3 linked regions of the Schizosaccharomyces pombe genome follow. Each later gene encodes a partner of the first gene's protein in a complex. Each region holds a gene or a part of one and is shown on either strand. Other genes may lie near its edges.

Evidence for each region.
Region 2: mrpl7 (region 1) and mrpl32 share a complex: the UniProt entries of both Schizosaccharomyces pombe proteins name them as parts of the mitochondrial large ribosomal subunit.
Region 3: mrpl7 (region 1) and mrpl15 share a complex: the UniProt entries of both Schizosaccharomyces pombe proteins name them as parts of the mitochondrial large ribosomal subunit.

The regions. Positions count from the first base shown.
Region 1 is NC_003423.3:1,735,920-1,741,332, reverse strand, and holds mrpl7 (mitochondrial 54S ribosomal protein uL5m), read right to left. Parts: upstream 2,692-5,413; 5' UTR 2,356-2,691; coding exon 1,492-2,355; 3' UTR 1,236-1,491; downstream 1-1,235. Other genes in the region: MAP kinase kinase kinase Byr2, read left to right, coding at 1-1,016; ebs1 (EST1 family protein), read right to left, coding at 4,304-5,413. UniProt on the Schizosaccharomyces pombe protein: Component of the mitochondrial ribosome (mitoribosome), a dedicated translation machinery responsible for the synthesis of mitochondrial genome-encoded proteins, including at least some of the essential transmembrane subunits of the mitochondrial respiratory chain.
Region 2 is NC_003423.3:3,906,098-3,909,959, reverse strand, and holds mrpl32 (mitochondrial 54S ribosomal protein bL32m), read right to left. Parts: upstream 2,109-3,862; 5' UTR 1,823-2,108; coding exon 1,511-1,822; 3' UTR 1,229-1,510; downstream 1-1,228. Other genes in the region: SPOM_SPBC1604.12 (uncharacterized protein), read left to right, coding at 1-1,067; PAK-like kinase Shk1, read right to left, coding at 2,902-3,862. UniProt on the Schizosaccharomyces pombe protein: Component of the mitochondrial ribosome (mitoribosome), a dedicated translation machinery responsible for the synthesis of mitochondrial genome-encoded proteins, including at least some of the essential transmembrane subunits of the mitochondrial respiratory chain.
Region 3 is NC_003423.3:4,361,654-4,365,791, forward strand, and holds mrpl15 (mitochondrial 54S ribosomal protein mL57), read right to left. Parts: upstream 2,139-4,138; 5' UTR 2,030-2,138; coding exon 1,397-2,029; 3' UTR 1,229-1,396; downstream 1-1,228. Other genes in the region: SIN component scaffold protein Sid4, read left to right, coding at 1-1,189; SPOM_SPBC1539.02 (uncharacterized protein), read left to right, coding at 2,363-3,523; arg41 (argininosuccinate lyase), read right to left, coding at 3,732-4,138. UniProt on the Schizosaccharomyces pombe protein: Component of the mitochondrial ribosome (mitoribosome), a dedicated translation machinery responsible for the synthesis of mitochondrial genome-encoded proteins, including at least some of the essential transmembrane subunits of the mitochondrial respiratory chain.

The DNA.
Region 1 (5,413 bases):
TTGGTGTGGAACCTTTATACCAGTCCAACGGAAATGAAAAATCGTCGAAGTATAATGTTTTTTCAGAAAGCGCGCATGGCAACCATCAAGTACTTTCCTTTTCACCTGGTTCATCCCCATCATTTATTGAGCAACCATCCCCAATTTCTCCAACTTCCACTACAAGTGAGGACACAAATACACTTGAAGAGGACACTGATGATCAGTCTATCAAATGGATACGTGGTGCGTTAATAGGTTCAGGATCGTTTGGACAAGTTTATCTCGGTATGAATGCATCTAGTGGTGAGTTGATGGCTGTTAAGCAAGTGATCTTAGATTCTGTTTCTGAATCAAAAGACCGCCATGCCAAACTTTTAGATGCATTAGCGGGTGAAATTGCTCTTCTACAGGAGTTGTCTCATGAGCATATTGTCCAATATCTCGGTTCTAACTTAAATTCGGACCACTTGAACATTTTTTTGGAATATGTTCCTGGGGGGTCGGTTGCCGGATTGCTTACAATGTATGGAAGCTTTGAGGAAACGCTAGTCAAGAACTTTATTAAGCAAACCCTTAAAGGCTTAGAATACCTTCATTCACGCGGCATTGTACACCGTGATATAAAAGGTGCGAACATCTTGGTTGATAATAAAGGGAAGATTAAAATTTCGGACTTTGGGATATCGAAGAAACTTGAACTAAATAGTACCTCTACGAAGACGGGTGGTGCTCGCCCTTCTTTTCAAGGCTCTTCTTTTTGGATGGCTCCCGAAGTGGTGAAGCAAACTATGCATACGGAGAAAACAGATATTTGGTCTTTGGGATGTTTGGTAATCGAGATGCTCACTAGTAAGCACCCTTATCCGAATTGTGATCAAATGCAGGCCATTTTCAGAATTGGGGAGAACATTCTGCCGGAATTCCCTTCTAACATTTCTTCATCGGCCATAGATTTCCTTGAGAAAACGTTTGCCATAGATTGTAATCTTAGACCTACAGCATCAGAGTTGTTGAGCCACCCGTTCGTTTCATAAGCCGGCTAAGTTATGATGAAAACAGAAACATTATTTTACGATCTATCTTTTTTATGTTTTTTTGCATCATTATCATTGCATTTATGCCATTTAGAACTAATGAATTTATTTAACCTATAAACCGTATGATTTAAGTTGCTATATTTTTCTACAATATTCATGTTTTTAATGATTTTGTGAATGTCCTTGATAAATACCATTATGAGTTTAGTTACTAAAAAAATACTATTTTACATGTTCAGTTTGTTTAAAAAATATCCATTGATTATTCCTTTTCAAGAAAAAACTTTTTATTTTTATTTACTTTGTGAAAACGATAACATAAATATATAATAACACATATCTACGGGAATTCTATCACTTAAACAAGTAAAACTCAAAAACGTATGTATGCATTAGTCGTAGAGAAGGGGATTTTTTGTTCACTCCTTGAGGAGAAAAGATTAGGTATAGTAGATATAAAATAAATTGTCTACTATCCAACATAGCCTTCCTTATTTCCATCTGTAAATGGAATAAGACTGCTGACGAAAAAACGAGCCAAACGGGTATCTTTGGAATTGGTTGTTATATTTACGTTAAATCCAGGTAAAGAGTGCGGATACATCTCATAAACAGCTTCAATTTGGGGAAATAAAGGCATGACTTCACTTGGTAAACCAAAAGATATGTTTCCTGTTTGATCTCCGCTTGTAGGACTCAGGCCCTTGAAATCATGAAGCTGAGGAAGAACCAACTCAGATAAGATTGAAAGAAATGTATACATAGATTCTCCAGTTAGAGTAACCTTTACACCTACTGGCACACCTGAACGAAGTTTCCAGGGAGAAACGTCCTTACGTGCATAGACTATTTCGGGCTGCAAACCCGTTATAGAACGAAATGCCATCATTGTACTCAAGAGCTGCGTTTTGTCAACGAGTGCTTCTTTATGCATAGTGCTGACGACAACTTTGCTAATAGAAGGAAGGTTTTTAGGATTAACGGACTCCTTTACTGGTAACAGAGGCTTATTACCACGCATTTTCTGAGGAGGCCGGTTTTTATAATAAGGGTTATCACCAATCCACCTTGGAAGTCTGTCTTTCTGTGTATGTTCATCTGTGCTTAACGCTGTATCTATGTCATGTCGATATGAAGCAGCTAATACATCCGGTAAAATGGTATCATGCAAGTGTTCTTGTAAGCGATTTAACATGGTGGGTCCTGGACGAAAATACTCAGAATTTGGATCCCATCCTGGTAGGGGCCTATTCTTGCCCAGTTTTTGCTTTACAGTGATGGTTCTTCGCTGCAGAAAGTTAACTGATATTCTGATATTTTTTCTTATCCCAAGCATTGTTAAAAATTAAAAAATGAATTAAAACAAGTATAATGACAAAGAGAAACCAAAAGCGACAAAAATACAACAGGTTACTTTCTAGGGAATTTTCGTGAAAATCCTTTTGCTTTATAAGCAGATGAGCACTTGTGTTATAATTTACCAATAAATTATAGTAAATAACACAAATCCGGGAAAAAATATTTATAATCACGAAACAAGGAAATTGTAAAGACCAATGTCCACAAATGATACCTGTTTCTCAAATCTTCAAAGGAAGGTTTTAACAAATGGTTATGGATAAAACAGGTAAGTCTCGCAACCAAAACAATTTTGCAATGGATCTTAGGTACTAGGGCTGGAAGATTGCTCGCGTTTGTCTAGTGTATTGTCATGGTTAGTGTACCGTATTACCTAGTGCCAAGTAAGGAAATCCGAGGCATCGTTATAATCATATGCCACACGATTTTGAGTGCCAAGTGTAATAGAAAGTATTGTACTTGTAACTTACAAACTTATTTAAACAAGTTAGCTTTAAAGCTTTAAGCTGATGTCTTTCTGTTTTTTTTTATACGTCGAAAAACAAATGTTTTTCCTTCAGCTGGTACATAAAAAAGCAGCTAATTGCTCTTCTTTTACAAGATGATTTTATTTTTGTATTTCTCAAAATCGTGCCAAATGGCATGCCACACATATTCAAATTATTGGAAAGTATTATTACTAACTGGCTCTACAAACTATTTGGATAGGATAGTGATGCATGTCATAAGATCACTTTCATGCAATAACAATACTAATCCAATTCGTTCTTTTGTATTCACTTTGTTCTTGTTCGTTTTTTACCTTCTTTCCTTTCAATATAGATGTGTGATGATGAATGAGAGATGCAAGAAGCTTAGCTCAAACACAATCCTGAAAGAGTAAAGTACTCAACATAAAATAATGCATTTATACATTTCGTACCTTTATCAATCTATTATGCAACAATAAAAGCATTTTATCCAAAAGAAAACAAGTTGTCTTAATACTTGAAAAGATCAATAGATTTACTTTTAGTTTGGTTTTCTAAAAAGAGAATCACACTTGATAAGAAATTGATTGCCTCGAATAACTCAAAACTAAATTATCTTAAACAACAGATACCGCCAGTGTATACTCAAAAATCATAGATATATGTTTCGAATTCGTAACACTTTAATGAAAAACCAAGCATTTCATAGGAAAGACAAATTTACACTTTAGTTTTGTGTCCAGGCATTACGATAACGTCTGGTAAAGACATAAAAAGAGGTATAAGATCTGGCACTTGAGAATCGCCAGTCATTACAATTTGGATACAGAACAAGCTCTAGAAACTCAAGATAGTGCAGTAAATGTTTATAAAGAGCATTTCTGCTTAGAATCACAAAACAAATTGCACTGAGTAACCAAATATTGAATATTCACTGTCCAAGCTCATATGCTTATTATCAATCAATTGGCAAGCTGAGGATATCCAACAAGTCAGATAACTTCATAATTCGAGGCTAAAGATTCTATTTAAAGAATTCAACGCAGTCCTATGTAAACAATTAACCCATTCTATGATATATATTGTAACATTGGGAAGCGCCTTAATTGCTTGTGTTTAGGTCAAACCAGAACAGCGCTATGATAACTAAACAACGTTTTATTTTCCCATCGACCATATTTTAATTTAAGTGTCGTGAATACCCGTACACTTTAGGCCATTTGATGACTATTCATACTTATATAAAAGTCAAAGCCTTTCTTTAGGCAAGTGAAGAACCATTTCTAATTCGTAAGCACAGTGTATAAACAAAGAAATCCGTGATACATTATTTTGGGTTATTTCACTTCGTGAGAAATAAAGCAAGAAATTTGTTCGTTGTTGGCAGCAAAGTTAATTGACTGCTTCTAACAAACTTCAGAATTTTTAATGAAACATTACAATCAACAATACAGTTTAATTATTGCTGATGTTAACCATTTTCTTTAATAGCTCAGACAAAACCAAATGTTCCGGAGGTTCCGTAGCAGGCGTAGAAAATGTGTTTAAAGCAGGGCTTCTCAATGGGCGGAATAAAACACGTTCACCTTGTAAATGTCCGTTTTGCGGAGATCCGTTCAAGTGTGTCTCACAAGAACTGAGATTCCCAGACACTAAAGGATAAGAACTAGTACTTTCACTAAATGGTGTGCTAGTCCTACTAAAACCAGAATCGACAGCTCTAGGACTCTCATTTGAAAACGTGCGTTGTTGTAATGAATGAACAGAGCACCCGGTAGTTTGAGCAGGTATAGGTTGAACAGGTCCAACGAGGCTATCCACCATCCTCCCAAATTGCAGACTTGCAATACTAGATGACTGATTAGCTATGGATGGTGTTCCAGATAAAAAAGGAGATGTAGGAGAAGATTGAGCAGATGGAAAAGAAGATGAGGACATTAGTGAATAATTCGATAATCCCATTCCAGTAAAAGCCTGTCCGCTAAATGGAGATCTGTGGGGTGTTGGAGGCGAAGAAAAAGATGTGCTATTTGGTGTACTTTTCGCTCGCATATTCAGTAACACATACAAAGAATCTAACGCAATTGTTATCAGTGCGTCAGAATCATCAACTTGGGGACCTTTACCTTCCTCATTAAAAGGATAATGATTTGAAAAGTAAAGCCACTGTAAAGTATCACGAGGAACTCCACAAACCTTAACAAGAGGGAAAAAGAATAGCAGGCCGATACTTTTAGAAGAACAGCGTACAAGAACAGAGTCGTCGGGAGCTGTTTGATTTGTGTTCTCCAAAAAGAAGCTTAAACGATTGAATATCTGTGAAAGTCCAGTTCGAATATCTTTAGTAAGCCAGACGTCCCCATTTTGCAAACACGAAGAAGTCAAAACACACAAAGGTAGAAGCATTGGCATAAGTACAGCATTTGAAGACAGAGATCCATATTGACGACGTTCGACTAGATCATCAAAATTACCGTCCTTCTTACTCGACACACCAGAGGTAAGAGCTTGTAAAGGAAGCTGGCTATTCACTGAATCAGAAAGGACTTCAAAAAACATAGTTGT
Region 2 (3,862 bases), 2.2 Mb from region 1:
GCGCAGAGCAACAGCAAATTATGCTCGAAGCTCGCCAGAAAGCAATTGAAAGGCGGAGGAATGAAGAAGAAGAACTTGCTCGATCACGAGAACGAGCCCGTAAAAAAGCTGAAGAAATAAAGATATCATCATCAAAGATGAATTCCTCACCCACTATTACTAATGAGCGGTCTTCCAATGTCGAGTCTAGCAAAAAAGTTGAAGCAATATACACTAAAGAGCCTCAGTCTATTACCAATAGTCCCGAAGGACTACATAGTAACCAAGAGACAACAGAAATTGATCCTTCTAGCCCCAGAGATGATTCTACTCCGCTTTCATGGAGAAGTCATAGTCATCCAATTCCTCCTGTTCAAGTCTCGCCTTTATTTACGTCGGATAAAAATGATCCTTTACAGTTGAATCCCCAATCTGATGATAGTACTTCTTCCCCGAAACATGGAAAGTCTCGGAGTATTGATGAAGTTATTTTAAGTATAAAGGATGTCATTTTTGACAATAACTTATATAAACAGAGATCCTATCAAAGTGGGGTGGCCGCAAATGCTCATTTACCCCATCGTGTCCCCAACGAACATGGAGGAGTTTCACGCATTGGCAATTCTAATGCTCTCGGTCAACCTGTTTCTTCATCCTCTTCTTACAGCCACTCCAAAGGTCGTGATACCAGAAGTAGTAGTTATGTAGTATCCTCGGAAACGAGCTCTTTAAAATCATCGAGATTGATACTTAGTCATGCAAATTCTGTTCGAATTCAGCGATCGAAGGGCGATGTTATTTTGAATTTACATTTGCCTAAAGTGAACCCGGAGCGGTTTCTTCCTACTAAATCATTAAAATTAGAGGAAATGAAACCATTAGAGGAGAAGGTTCCTATATACCGCTCATCTTCCAAACAACCCCTTCGAATTCATCCTACTCATCCACTGCGTGTAACTGTTTGTCTTCCAGGTAGCAAGACAATTCAAGTGGCTCGTCGCTCTTTTCGTAATTCAATGAACGCTAATCGTTATGATCCTCAACGCCGAGAACGAATTGATTCCGGTTTATGGAGGGCGAAAAACTAGCTTGGTTTTTTCTTATTGTTATCGTTTATGTATACTTTACATGAGATTATAGTCTCTTTTGTGTTTTCGATGCATTTAATATTATTTACACGCTTACAACATAAACGTGTATTGAAAAAGGATGAAAGCTAAGAGATATATTCAGCTTTTTTGTTATTTTTTCACTCTAAATTCTTTTGCATAATATATGATATTTATACTCAACCGTACATAGTCAACAAATAAAATTAAGTAAAAAAATTCTTTGTTATACGCGTATTTTTAAAAAGGGTGTAGTTCATTAATCGTAATACTGAAAAAATTTAAGTAGTGCGAGCAGATTCAATTCACTAACTGCAATACTATTACATGAAACAACCTTATATTTAATGTTAAGTCCATTTTTTTTCTTAAAATAAAGATTTGCAGCATCACTAAATCAGTGAAGAAATGCTTAATGCCCTTCATTCGTTAAATTCTCGACGAATATTTCTAAAACAGTGAGAACATAAATGATGTGCCAATTTAAAAGACCCGCAAATAGGACAACGATTAACTGTTTTGTCTTTTAATGCTTTTCCGGACAGTAAGCGACTTCGTTTCTTAGTATAAGAAGTTTTTTTCTTTGGAACAGCAAGCAAAATGGAATTCCATATATTAGCTATTGAAGGGGGGGAAATAAATATCCTCAAAGAAATATGAGGAAGGGCGCTAGCTTGAAAAACTGATAACATTTTTTGGCTAATTGCCAAAGAATTTCCTCTTAAAAGAGCCATTTTCGACCCAAGCGCGAACAGTAGAATATTGTTGGGTACAGTAATGCTGAACAATATTTTAAAAGTTTTCTCAAGGTAAGGCGAACTTAGTTACTGCAGAACTTGATCTTAATTATATAGTTATAAAACGATGCATATAGCCGTTTTCTAAAACCAGTAGACCCAATCACAGATAGATTTACGATCTCCGAGAAAAGAGTTTGAAATAATTGGAAGTCGTCAAAAGGAAACTTAAAGACCAGTTACTTTGGTTTCGAGACAATGCTTAAGAAGTAGGCTGCTGCCTAAATCTATAGTCTGCTGTTGAGTAGTAATAACCCATGTATAACGAGACTCCTCAAATTCACTATTGCTTTGGCTTGACATTTAAATGCTAAGTGCGCTCTCTCTTTATTAAGTCTCGCAGTTTAATGTTGACAATTTTCTTAAGCTCATGAACTACGCTACAATCATAGTCCATTTAATTATTTGAAGTTTTCTACGTATTTGTACTAATTTTAGTAGATCAAAAATTTTGTGAAATATTCCAGCAGGCGTTTCACTTTGAGATTCCACATAATTGAAATTGAAACATCGCTTTAAAAGATTCAAACCTATTTTGACTGATTCAAGATCAATCTCAGAATCATGTACTTACATTTTGAATACTTTGATAAGTTAGTCTTCCTTTTAGTTTTTTTATAATGCATTGCGAATATTAAAAAGTTGAGACTTTTAGAAAGAAGCATTGTCTCATTTATTATAAAAATTATCCAAGTGTCACTGAGATCATTCTTGGCAGTAAGAAAAAAACAAAAAAAAAGGAACAGATAAGTAAAGTATGCACTAGAAAAAGGAATTAAAGTAAAGCAAAAAAGTAGTTAAAATGTACTCTGTTTGAATCTGCCCAACCTGCGGATATGGATTTTAGTGGAGGAGGCAAAAAAATAAACTCAGGTACATATATTCTAACGAACTGCAAAAGCATATTAACGATAAATAAACAATGTGAGAAGAAACAGTTTTTAAGCAAACGTTGGAGGATATTCCGAAACTTCTAACAGCAGATGTTTACTCAAAAACTTTTTTGACAAGTTAGCCTATTTACCAGAATGATGTATGGATTTTATCAAAGGGATAAGGGATGAAACTGGAACGGCTTGCTTAAGAAACGGATGCCTTAAAAGCTCACCGGAGCTAGGGCGTTGCTTAGGATTAACAGTTAAAGATTTAGAAAGAAAATCATGGAAAACAGAACTTAACAATTCTGGCCGACTAATCTTTGGAGTACCAATAGTAGCAATTAAATATAGAGCACGTAAAGGATTTTCGTTTAAATACGGGGGCTCTCCCTCTACCATCTCTATAGCCATAATACCAAGACTCCAGACATCAACTTTGAAACCATATTCCTTTCTAGTAACGACTTCTGGAGCCATCCAATATGGAGTACCAACCATCGTCGTTCGTTTCGTCATGTTACTGTCGATCTGAGCACAAAACCCAAAATCGGTAAGTTTAATATCTCCTTGAAGTGAGAGAAGGATATTGTCTGATTTTATGTCACGGTGAACAATGCCATTTTCATGGAGATGCTGTAAGCCTTCCAACGTTTCCTTACATATTGCAGCTATCTGACCTTCTGAAAGAGTGTTATTGGTAACCACTTCAGTAAGACTGCCACCGCGCATGTATTCCATTACCATCCACAACTCTGATTTATAGAAGAAAGTGTCAATAAAATTGACAATGTTTTTGTGATGATGTGACTTCATCACGAGTATTTCATTGACAATAAATTCCTTTTTTGGCTGTTGATTAATGTTCATTTTCTTGATGGCAACAGAAAGATTAGTGCCGACTTGGCGAGCAGAATACACATCACCAGAAGCACCTTGACCAATTTTAACAAAATTTCGATATAAAAGTGTTGGATTTTTGGGATTGCATATAGACTGTAACTTTGCCAATACAGCAGAATCATTGGATTGTTGTCGAGGTGCACGCTTTTGAAGTCGAGGGGCACTTGGTGCTTCCACTTTTTGAGGAGTCGCAACAGCT
Region 3 (4,138 bases), 2.6 Mb from region 1:
GCCTTCTGGCTATCCTCTTACTTCATCTACATGTGTTTCTTCTATTAGTCAACCTATCCAATCTACGGATTGTCAAAAGGCTCAGGAAAATCTTTCTAATAATAAACAGATGTCGTCGAATGATCAAGACATCGATCCTTTTAAACAAGCCATTACCGATTTACCTCCTTCTTTTGTTAATATTGTTTTGGAGATGAATGCCACAATACAATCCTTATCAAATCAATGCCAACAAAGAGATAAACAGATTGAAAATATAACCAAGCAATTGCTTATGAATCAGCAGGATTATTGTCCCACAACAATGTCAACAACTGTTTCTACTCCACTTTGTCCTCCAAAACGATTCCCTAAAAGCACAAAAGACTTTAAAGAGCAAAAACCTGATACGAAGCAGGTACGATCTGCTACTATTAGCAATGATTTTAACCTTAAAGGCAACGGAAGGTATAATGAAAAATCTCAAATTGCGGTTCCAAGTGAAATACGAGTTCAGCTATCAACACTTGATGCTATTCTTTTGCAATTTGAGCACTTGCGTAAGGAACTTACCCAAGCCCGTAAAGAGATACAAATTCTTCGGCATACTTCTCAAAATGGAGATCAAGAATCAAATGAAAGCTCAAAAAATGCAATAACCACAAAGACTACTGACAAAGGAAATAATAAGGAGAATACTATGCTGAATGACGGGTCTACAGCCCCTGCAAAAAATGATATAAGAAATGTTATTAATACCAATAATCTTGATGCAAAATTGTCAGATGAAAGTGAGTTAATGATCGAAAAGAACAAAAGCTACTCAACACCTGCTTCATCTACCATCCCTACTTTCCATACCTCACAGCCTCTTACTTCCTTAAATATGCCTGATTCTAGATTTAATCTGGCTAAGGAAAAACAACTTTATTATCGGCTAGGCCTTCAGCATATAGATCAACAGTGTAGTGTTGAAACAGCCAACATGTTGAAAACAGTTTTGGTCCAATTAAATATCCCTTTTGCAATTTTTCCTTCTACCATCGGACAAGTCAGACGCCAGCTGCAACAAGGTCGTAGACTCTACCAATGGGCACGAAATATCCATTATCTAATATACGAGGAGAATATGCGTGACGGTTTGGTTTCAAAACAGTGTTTAGCAGATATGCTGAAAAAGATAAGGGAGCTTAAAAAACGTAGTTTGTGAATGGATGCCAATGACTTACAACTCGATCAATAAGATTTTGGGATGCAGCTTATATTATACAAATGTTGATAAATATGAAATATATTATTAACTACTGACTGAATGAAAGAGGCGTTAAATAAATCGATAGTAATAATAAGCGTATGGCAAAATGTACTATATTATGGCATCCTTTGCATAAAGAATTTTATCCTGCTGCTACACATCTTATTGATTATGCACGGTATTAGGTCTCACGAAATCTTTTGTCAAATCTGATATGATGCTTTTCTTACAAAAATTCATAGCCTCAACTCCGCCTTTTTGGAAGTAAACGACAGCAACAAGTCCGGAAACAATACTACTGTATATCTTTTCAAAACTAGACGAAGATGGAGAATTAGGCCCTTTTAATGGCAAAATACATTGTGTGGCAGTTTCAGGATTCCATTTTTTTGCAACTTCAGCGAGTCGAGCAGGGGAACGAAGATTTACTAAATCCTTGTATGAAGGTATTGTGCTAAAGTTTCCTGATTCCAAATAATGATTAAGTAAGCAAACATCGATAACTGCATTTCCAACCGAAACGAAAGGTTCATTATATCTTTTCAGCCCATGTTTATAAGATTTATGAGTTACAATTTGTTCTCTTAGAGATTTGTCTGAGATGTAATTTTTTTCACCAAAAACACGACTGAAAAAGCTGTCAATGTCTTCTTCTGTAGATGTCATTTCATATCTGTACTTATTTTCATTACACGCAATTTTCCCAATTCGACGGACACAATTCCATGATGATGATCTGAACACAAATTTATTTTCAATTTGAAGTCCTAAACGATTACAATGTCTTGTTAACATACGGATGGCATAAAATCTTAGAAAGAGCTTCAAGTTCCTCAAACCCTTGTATGGAAAATCAACTTTTCGAAAGAAAAGATATCTGTTTTCTGCAACTAGAATATAGGTTGTTTTTAAAAAACATTGGCCGATTACGAAGTAGTAAAATAGCGCACTACGCTTGAGATCACAGTGTACGAACGTCAAGGTATGCTAATGTTATCAAACTGTTTCAATAATTTACAATTTATTTTGTGTTTTACTGTTAAGTGTATATAAACAACTACTACAAAGTTATTCCAAAGAAACAATTAATTGAAAGGATACTGAAGTTTTGGTTGAAAATTTGTCACAATGAACCAAGATGATTTCAGAAAGCTTTTAGCTACTCCAAAAGCCGAAACCTCCCAGTTAAAAAATTTCTCATCGAATAAAAGTCAGCGACTTGTTTTTGGTCGTAAACATAAGACGGCCAAATTGGAAGCACCCAGAGCCCTAATTAAAAGAAAACAACTAAGTCATTCTACATCGTCAGACATTACGAGACATTCTAATGCAAAAAATTCAGGGAAAGATACTCAATTTTATGAAGAGCCTTCTTCCAAACAGGATATTGAGTTGCACAAATTGCACGAGAAACTTCGCAATGGCCAAATTACGACAAAAGAATATTCAGAAAAATCTAAAGAATTAGGCGGAGATTTGAATACAACTCATCTCGTGCGTGGTCTTGATCGAAAATTGCTTGAAAAAGTTCGCTCTAATGAGCTAGCCTTGGATGATTCTCTGCTTTCTTCGAGTGAGAAAGAAGTTGACGAAGAAGCAGACAAGCTTTTAGAGAAAGTTGCTGAGGAGTCATCACATCCTGAATCTGTTTCTATTCTAGAAGAAAAAAAGAAGATACCTCTTTATCCTAATGGACAACCGAAATATCGTAAAATTTTGGAAAATGGAAAAAAAGTTAAATATTTGCTTGATGAAAATGGTGAAATCCTAAAACGGCTTGTGAAGAAGGAAAAAAAGTTAAAAAATGATAATGAACGTTTAGAAAATGAACATAGAACCGAGAAATTAAACGTGAACGCTAATAGCTTAGGGAAAAGCTTTGTTAAGCATGATATACCACTTCCACCAGTTGATTTGAAGCTCGATATTTTCGAGGAGGTTGGAGAATATGATCCTTTTCATGAAAATGATAAAGAGCCTGCTGAGTTGAAGGCGAAGGATGCTTTTCAGCTTAAAGGTCATCATGAATTGGATGCGCCTTATCATAAGAAAGTCTTTGATACAAATCAATATAGCGATCTTAAACCTACGAATTTTATGTCTCAAATTCATCGACTTGCCAAAGTTCAGGAACGCAAAGAAGAAGAAGAGCGAAAGAAAGGAAAAGACGGACAAATTGTTGATGCAGGTTTCGGGCTTGTATTATCAAAAGACGATACAGCAGATATTCACGAGTTAGGGGAATCTGACGATGATGATAATGTTAAAAGGAGAAAGACGAAAGGTTAAAAGTACTACTTCATTCAGTATGAATATTTACGATTTAAGATTTAAGTTACGTGTTTTTAAAATATTATTATGAGGCTACAATTATTTATTTGCCCGTTTTACACCAAAAAACCTCGATTCGGGGAATTATGTTGAGGAAGCCCTGTTAAATGATCAAACGAACATATAGAAAAAGTAAGTATATCCATATCATTTCATGTAAACTTATCTACTCCAAGGCCTTTTTAATGGTTTGGATTTGTTCTAATACACAACTCTTAGCGGTACCACCAATCGCACAACGCTTCTCCACACTGGATTCATAGTTGAAAACATCTGCAACATCTTCTTCATATAATGGGTGTAGCGATTTAAAATCTTCAACACTTAGCTTATCAATGGTAGTGTTTCTTTCCTCGGCCATTCGGACAGCGGACCCGGAAATATGATGAGTTTCACGAAAGGGAACACCTTTACGCACAAGGTATTCTGCCAAATCAGTCGCTAGCATGTCCGCAGTCAAGCTCTTAGCAATATTTTCTGGATTTACAGTTAAAGTAGAAAGAACTCCGGTTAGAATTTGAATGGAATCCAAAACAGTTTTGGAAGAATCGAAAAGCGGTTCTTTATCTTCTT